2 linked regions of the Macaca mulatta genome follow. The protein of the gene in region 1 interacts with the protein of each later gene in a pairwise test. Links are inferred from orthologs where the notes say so. Each region holds a gene or a part of one and is shown on either strand. Other genes may lie near its edges.

The links. The genes of interacting proteins can lie anywhere in the genome.
Region 2: the proteins of CLK2 (region 1) and LUZP4 interact in binary tests that used the Homo sapiens proteins (3 or more experiments, as listed by UniProt). The two-hybrid records come from large-scale screens. The link is inferred for Macaca mulatta from reciprocal best matches to the Homo sapiens genes CLK2 and LUZP4.

Annotation. Positions count from the first base shown.
Region 1 is NC_133406.1:111,721,783-111,725,303, forward strand, and holds part of CLK2 (dual specificity protein kinase CLK2), read left to right. Parts: intron 1-468; coding exon 469-635; intron 636-1,416; coding exon 1,417-1,511; intron 1,512-2,548; coding exon 2,549-2,678; intron 2,679-2,775; coding exon 2,776-2,858; exon of another isoform or gene 2,859-3,022; coding exon 3,023-3,102; intron 3,103-3,282; coding exon 3,283-3,373; intron 3,374-3,521. UniProt on the Homo sapiens protein: Dual specificity kinase acting on both serine/threonine and tyrosine-containing substrates. Phosphorylates serine- and arginine-rich (SR) proteins of the spliceosomal complex.
Region 2 is NC_133426.1:121,839,524-121,843,732, forward strand, and holds the start of LUZP4 (leucine zipper protein 4), read left to right. Parts: upstream 1-1,390; 5' UTR 1,391-1,436; coding exon 1,437-1,527; intron 1,528-4,209. UniProt on the Homo sapiens protein: Export adapter involved in mRNA nuclear export in cancer cells. Binds and enhances the RNA-binding activity of the nuclear RNA export factor NXF1. Can restore mRNA export function in cells compromised by loss of mRNA export adapters.

The DNA.
Region 1 (3,521 bases):
TTTTGTTCACATATATTCACAGTCCAAAAATAGAATAAGGACATTAAGCCAAGATATGAGGCCAGTAGGTATAAACAGGAGGCCAGTAGGTATAAAAAGGAGCCCAGTGGTAGCTGGTGGTGAATGAATATCAGGAGTTGGGCTGGGGTTGGGGTTTAGGATGGACAGTTTGATGATCCAGGATCTGTACTGTTTGGAACTTGGCACTCAACAGCTCTTCAGTAAATAGTTTTTTGAACTATTTAAAATGATGCAGGAAGATATTTTGAAACTTGGCAAGTAGTACCATTCTTCTTGGGTCTTGCAGAGGCTATTCCCTAGCTGAACTGAATTTTGGTGTTAGTATTAACTGGCATGGTTTTACACAAGTTTGTGGAATCAACAGCTATGAAGTACCTCCTTGTTGGAGGGCTGATGGGCAGATGGGAGCTCATCAGACAACCCCCCTTCCCCCATCTCTCTTCTCAGCCTCTGTGTCCAGATGTTTGACTGGTTTGACTACCATGGCCACATGTGTATCTCCTTTGAGCTTCTGGGCCTTAGCACCTTCGATTTCCTCAAAGACAACAACTACCTGCCCTACCCCATCCACCAAGTGCGCCACATGGCCTTCCAGCTGTGCCAGGCTGTCAAGTGTGAGTGGGGTGGGCTGAAATGGACTCTCGAGCATCCCCTCCCTTCATTGGATCTCTCTGTCGGTTGTGCACTGGTGAAGCCCCTAAACAGTCAGCTCTCTGTTATCTGCAGTTGTTTTACTGTCATCTTGAAATGTCTTCTGACTTAGCTCCTTGACTAATGTCTTTATTGTCACTGACTGCTCTTACTCTACACCTAACCTAGCAGCAGCTAGAAGAGAAAGCCTTTGGAATCAAAGCACTTAATTACCCTCCCCTTTTCCTTTCCTCCCCTTCTTGGGAAAGCATCAGTCAGACAGCAAATATAAAGAAACAAAAATACACTCTTTAGGTTAAAGGCTTACATGTGTCTGGGATGAGATGTTCATGCAAAGCAAAGCAGATGTGAACACAGAGTATGTAGTTCAGCTAAGGGGCAAGGTGGGGAATTCAAAGAAATACATTATTCCTCTGGAGTCATCAAAACAATACAGTTTCACAGAACTAAGTTCACATAATGCCAGCTAGACACATGTCAAAGTGTATACACACTATAACTCAAAGCAAACTCTTTTTTTTTTTTTTTTTTACATCAGTTGAGATACATATGTATCTTATTGTAGATAGAGCAGAGCTTCTTAGACCAGGCATTCCATTTAGACGTAGAGCAGAAAGCAGCCCTCTTGTGATTCTGGACCTGTCTCCTCACTGGCTTTGCCCTAGGTAACCAGGCCTGGGGTCAGCTGATACCAGTTAGCTCTGGCCACCTGCACCAAGCCTGACCTGGCCTTCTCCCCTACAGTCCTCCATGATAACAAGCTGACACATACAGACCTCAAGCCTGAAAATATTCTGTTTGTGAATTCAGACTATGAGCTCACCTACAACCTAGAGAAGGTAAGATGGATAGGGTCTGCCCTTGGTTACTGGGGGTAGGCAGCTGGGCCACTTTGCCTTCTGCCGAGCCCTTTCTTTTCTCCCTTTTTATTTTGTCCTGCCACATTTTCTCCCTGTCTGGTTCCAAGTGGGTAAAACTAGATAGGTTGAAAGGGAGAGATCTCTTAAGACTTAAATTGGGAGATAACTTGTACAGGGGACTTCAGATAACTTTCCAGTAGAGTGAAAAATTTTAAGGTTCTGTTTGGACTGACTGACTGATTTATTTATTTATTTGAGATTGGAGTCTCGCTCTGTTGCCCAGGCTGATGTGCACTGGCATAATCTTGGCTCACTGCAACTTCTACCTCCCAAGTTTAAGTGATTCTCCTGCCTCAGCCTCTGGAGTAGCTGGGATTACAGGCACCCGCCACCATGCCTGGCTAGTTTTTGTGTTTTTAGTAGAGATGGGGTTTTGCCATGTTGGCCAGGCTGGTCTCGAACCCCTAACCTCAGAGGATCCACCTATCTCGGGCTCCCAGAATGCTGGGATTACAGGTGTGAGCCACAGCGCCTGGCCTGGACTTGTTTTTTGAGATGTGTATTTCTGTGAGGTAGGAAAGCTTGGCTCCCTTGACTAACTGGAGATGATGGAGATCTCAGACCTAAAGAAGCTCTCCCTCCCTTGACCCCTTTGCTGCATGTTATATATTTTCAGAGAAACCCCTTTGCTACATGTTACATTTTTTTCAGGAAAACCCATTTGCTACATGTTACACGTTTTCAGAATAACTGTATATCCGGCACTTGGGTGTAGTCTTCAGATGTTTACAGATGTGCACGCTGTTCTATAATCATTTCTTAATCCTTTTGCTCCCCTACTTCTAAAAGTATTATGCTGGATGTGGTGGGAGCTGTAAAACAGGAAATTTCCCAGGGCTTGTGGGGCCAGGCAGGAGATCACAGTAGCTTTTTTAAGGCTCAGAAGCACGGTAGAGAATACTGGTGGAATCTCAGTCTGGGTGCAGAGGTTCATCCTCTTCCTCCTCTGCTCCTAGAAGCGAGATGAGCGCAGTGTGAAGAGCACAGCTGTGCGGGTGGTAGACTTTGGCAGTGCCACCTTTGACCATGAGCACCATAGCACCATTGTCTCCACTCGCCATTACCGAGCACCAGAGGTCATCCTTGGTAAGGGAGGGCAAGGCTGTCCAAGTGTGTGAGATGATGTGGTGAGGGTGGGGCCACCTAAGCCTCATAACACCTTTTCCCTCCCATTCTCACCCAGAGTTGGGCTGGTCACAGCCTTGTGATGTATGGAGTATAGGCTGCATCATCTTTGAGTACTATGTGGGATTCACCCTCTTCCAGGTAAGTGATGGGATATCTTACTTGACCACCTGGCATTCTACCTGGTTGCTTTGTTGTCTGCTGAGGACCTGCCTACTCAGTTCTCCACATTGCCCATCTTCCTGGCAGCTGGTCCTCAGCATGCCCTTTTCAGTCCCATGCTCAGTTCTGTTTTTGTTTCCCAGACCCATGACAACAGAGAGCATCTAGCCATGATGGAAAGGATATTGGGTCCTATCCCTTCCCGGATGATCCGAAAGACAAGGTGAACCTTGAGTGTGCACTAGTTAACCCTTTTCCTTTTCTCTCCACAGAATTGGTCTATTTCACATCAGTTTCTTTTTTCTTTGATGCCTCCTGTCCCCCCAGTTACTTTCAGATGGGGAAATAAGGGAATTGTAACAAGGGTGACCTTCTGATTCCTCAACCTCCCCTTCCCCTCTAGAAAGCAGAAATATTTTTACCGGGGTCGCCTGGATTGGGATGAGAACACATCAGCTGGGCGCTATGTTCGTGAGAACTGCAAACCGCTGCGGGTGAGCCAGGCTCGGGATAAATAGTGCCCACCATCCAGAAGTCACTTCTTAGGGTGGTTTGCCCCTGGAATGCTCTTCACAAGCAGAGGGTTAGGAAAGGAGGGGAGGAAAGCTGAAAGAAGACATCTTTGGTCAACAGAGGAAACAT
Region 2 (4,209 bases), on another chromosome or scaffold:
AGGTCGGGTATGGTGGGTCATGCCTGTAATCCCAACACTTTGGGAGGCCAAGGTGGGAGGATTGCTTGAGGCCAGGAGTTTAAGATCAGCTTGGCCAACATGGTGAGATCCCCATCTCTACAGCCCGAGAGGAGCCTGGGAGGTTAAGGCATGCCAACCTGGGCAACAGATCCAGGAAAGAAAGAAAAAAGAAAGAAAGGAAGGAAGGAAGGAAAAAAGGAAGGAAGCTAGCAAGGAAGGAAGGAAGGAAGGAAGAAAGGGAAGGAAGGAAGGAAGAAAGAGGAAGGAAGGAAAAGAAATAGCCGGGTGCGGTGAGGGAGGGAGGCCGAGGCGGGTGGAAAAAAAGAAGTTAGGAAGAAGGAAGGGAGGGAGGGAGGGAGGAAGGAAGGAAGGAAGGAAGGAAGGAAAGGAGAGAAAGAGGGAAAGAAACAAAAGAAAGGAAGGAAGGAAGGAAGGAAGGAAGGAAGGAAGGAAGGAAGGAAGGAAGGAAGGAAAAGAAATAGCCAGGTGTGGTGAGGGAGGGAGGCCGAGGTGGATGGAAAGAAAGAAAGTAGGAAGAAGAAAGAGGGAAGGAGGGAGGGAGGGAAAGTGTGGGCACGGTGGTATGAGGGCAGCCGAGACGGGTGGATCACTTGAGCCCAGGAGACCAGCCTGGCCAACATGGTGAAACTCCATCTCTACTAAAAATACAAAAATTAGCCAAGCGTGGTGGCACACTCCTGTTATCTCAGCTACTTGGGAGGCTGAGGTGGGAGAATCACTTGAATCTGAGAGGCAGAGGTTGCGGTGAATGGAGATGGCACCACTTCACTCCAGCCTGGGCGACAGAGAGAGATTGTCTCAGTAAAAAAAAAAAAAAAAAAAAAAAAAAAAAAAAAAGAGGAAAGAAAGAATGAAAGATGAAAGAAAGAAACAGAGAAAGAAAGAAAGAAAAGAAAAGAAAGAAAAGAAAGCATGTGGCATTGCAAGCCTGTGAATCCTCCCTAGATGTAAATTTGGGCTCGCTCTTGGAATTTGAGAGAAGCAGAGCACCAGCCCATTAAGTCAAGAATATAAGGTTTTATTCCCCATGAATGCCAACAGCAAAGAGGAGAAATGGGTTCTAGGAACTGTGAAAGGCAAGGGTCGGAACACCACATACACTAGAAACTTGTAGCCAACTAGGTAGTGTTCTGGGTGGAGACAATATTTTTAGAAAGGGGTATGCAGTGGGAGATGAGCGGGTCTTTCCTTTTTTTTTTTTTTTTCTAGTGAGCCAAGCTCCTGATAGGAGACTTGGTGAGAGGTATACGCCAAGCTCCACCCCTTGGGGCTTAGCAACAGCAAAGGAAGAGGCTATGATTGGAGGATCAGGTTAGCCCACCATGCTCCTCCCGCGCGGTGAGGGGGCGGTACACGCGCCTGAGCTCGGAGTGTGACGCCATGATACAGAGGAGATGGCTTCGTTTCAGAAGCTAACACTTCCTGAAAAAGTGTCGCCAAATCGTCCCAGTCGGAAAAAGGTTAACTTCCTAGATATGTCTCTAGGTATGTAGATCTCGGATCCCAGTCCCCACTAGTTTGGGCTCACTGGTCTTGAGCGCAAGACCTCGGCATACCGCTGACTAGAAGTGGCGTCGGGAGGAGCACACCGCTTCAAGGAGAGGCTTCCCCCTCAGGGCATCTCCGCACCTGCCCGGCCCCTATCCCTCCTCTCCTCTTCTTCTCCTCACCTCCAGCCCTCTCCTTTCAGGTGGGGAACTCTGAGGGAGGCTGACAAAAAGTGCGTGGGGATTAAGGATTGCTGAAAGGGGCAGGCGGAGAAAATAGACCATTTCCGTGTATTTTACTCTCCCAAGAATTGATACCTAATTACTGGCCTCCTTCAAACACATGGGGCCAAGTGCTCTTCTCAGTCCAAGCGGATGTCATAAATCACTAGATTCCAGGGCCCGGAGGAGCAAGCCTCAGGCTATTTTGCTAGGGATTCCAGCGTGGTAGTGCCAAGAGTTGTTGGTGGGTTGGTGTATCTGCTTTGTTGGAAGGGGTGGTTGGTGCGTTTATTTGCTTGTTGGCTGGTGGTTATTCGCTCTGGATCGCCTTTCTTTGCAGGCACTCTCTAGTCTCTAACTTGAGACCTCTACACGGAGAGTGGAACCTTAGAAAAAATAAATCCTTTATCAATGCCCCTAACCTCCTCCATTCGCACCAAACCCAGAAAAAGTGAATTTTACTCGGACCAGTTCCTCTGCTATTATCCACCTTAGAAATGGGGAAGAGGGGAGGGAATAGACTTTCCAAGCCAGATAGGGAGTGAGCAGAGCTGAGTAGAGGATGGAAGCTGACTTTAGAAATGGAGAGGGGCATCAGAGCACGGAAGAAGGAAACTGTAGAAATGGGGGAAGGAGGACAAAACAGAAAAGGCCTACTTTATTTATTTAGGTTTGTGTGTCTGTGTGTGAAACAGGGGCTTGCTCTGTTTCTCAAGCAGGTGTGCAGTGGCATCATCTTGGCTCACTGCAACCTCCACCCCCTGGCGTCAAGCGATCCTCCCACCTCAGCCGCCCGAGTAGCTGGGACTACAGGCACATGCCACCACACCCGTCTAGGTTGTTTTTTGTTTTTGTTTTTGTTTTTTTGTATTAGTAGAACGAGGTTTCACCATGTTGCCCAGACTGGTCTCCTGGTCTCAAGTGATCTGCCCCCCTCGGCCTCCCAAAGTCCTGCAATTACAGGCGTGAGCCACCGCCCCCAGCCTGGTTAGTTGTTTTTGAGACAAGGTCAGGGACTGTTGTCTGGGCTGGAGTATAGTGGCACGATCAAGGCTCACTGTGGCCTCAAGCTCTCAGGCTCAATCAAGTGATCCTACCACCTCAGCCTCTAGAGGAACTGGAACCACAGGTGCTTGCCACCACACCTACCTAATTTTTAAATTTTTGTAGAGAATGGGTCTCCTTATGTTGCCCAGGCTGGTCTCGAACTCCTGGCCTCAAACAATCCTCCCGGCTCGGCCTCCCAAAATGCTGGGATTGTGGGCCTGAGCCACCGCGCCTGGCCAGGGGCCACTTTAGAAATGAGAGAGGGAGAGGCAGAGCAGTGGGAGCTGAGCTTCAATGTGGAAGTGCAGGGGTGGAGCGAGGAGAAGCAGGAACAAGGAGGGCGGACCTTAGAAATGGATGGAACAGTGGAAAGAGGGTTCACCTTAGAGATGAGAATAGGGGAGCAGAGCAGGGAGGGCTGAACTTTAAAAGGGGCAGGATAAGTGGAGGGAGAGTGTACCATAGAAATGAAGAAGTTTGGCTGGGCTTGGTGGCTCATTCCTGTAATCCCAGCAGTTTGGGAGGCTGAGGTGGGCGGCTTACTTGAGGCCAGGAGTTCGAGACCAGCCTGGCCAACATGGTGAAACCCCATCTGTACTAAAAATACAAAAATTAGCTGGGCATGGTGTTGTGTGCCTGTAGTCCCAGCTATGTGGGAGGCTGAGGCAGGAGAATTGCTTGAACCCGGGAGGTGGAGGCTCCAGTGAGTTGAGATCGCGGCACTGCACTCCAGCCTGGGTGCCAGAGTGAGACTCCATCTCAAAAAAAAAAAAAAAAAAAAAAAAGTACTGAAATGAAGAGGGGCGCTGTGGCTCATGCCTGTAATCGTGGGAGGCAGAGGTTAGGCTGGTCTTGAACTCCTGACCTCAAGTGATACGCTTGCCTCGGCCTCACACAGTGCTGGGATTACAGGCGTGAGCCACCTCGCCCGGCCTAAACTTTCTTTATAGTGTCCTTTGAAGTCCTGAAGTTTCAGATTCTGATAAAATACAATTTATCTGTTTTTTTGTTGTTGTTCATGCTTTGGAGTCATTTCTAGAAAATCATGAAGATATACCCTTGTTTCCTTCTGAGTTTTCTAGTTTTAACTCTTACATTTACATCTTTGATCCATTTTGAGTTCATTCTTGTATATGGGGTGAGTTAAGAGCCAACTTCATTATATTGCATTTTGATGTCTAATTGTTCCAGCACTACTTGTTAAAAAGACTAATTTTCCTCCATTGAAAGCTCTTCTTGGTGGAATTGCTTTCTTAATTTCATTTTTGGATAGTTAATTGCTGGTATATATAAATAGAATTAATTTTTGCATATAGATCTTGTATCCTGCAACCTTGCTGAGCGTGTTCATTAGTGCTAATCTCCGTGTGTGTGTGTGTGTGTGTGTGTGTGTATCTTTAGGAATTTCTAC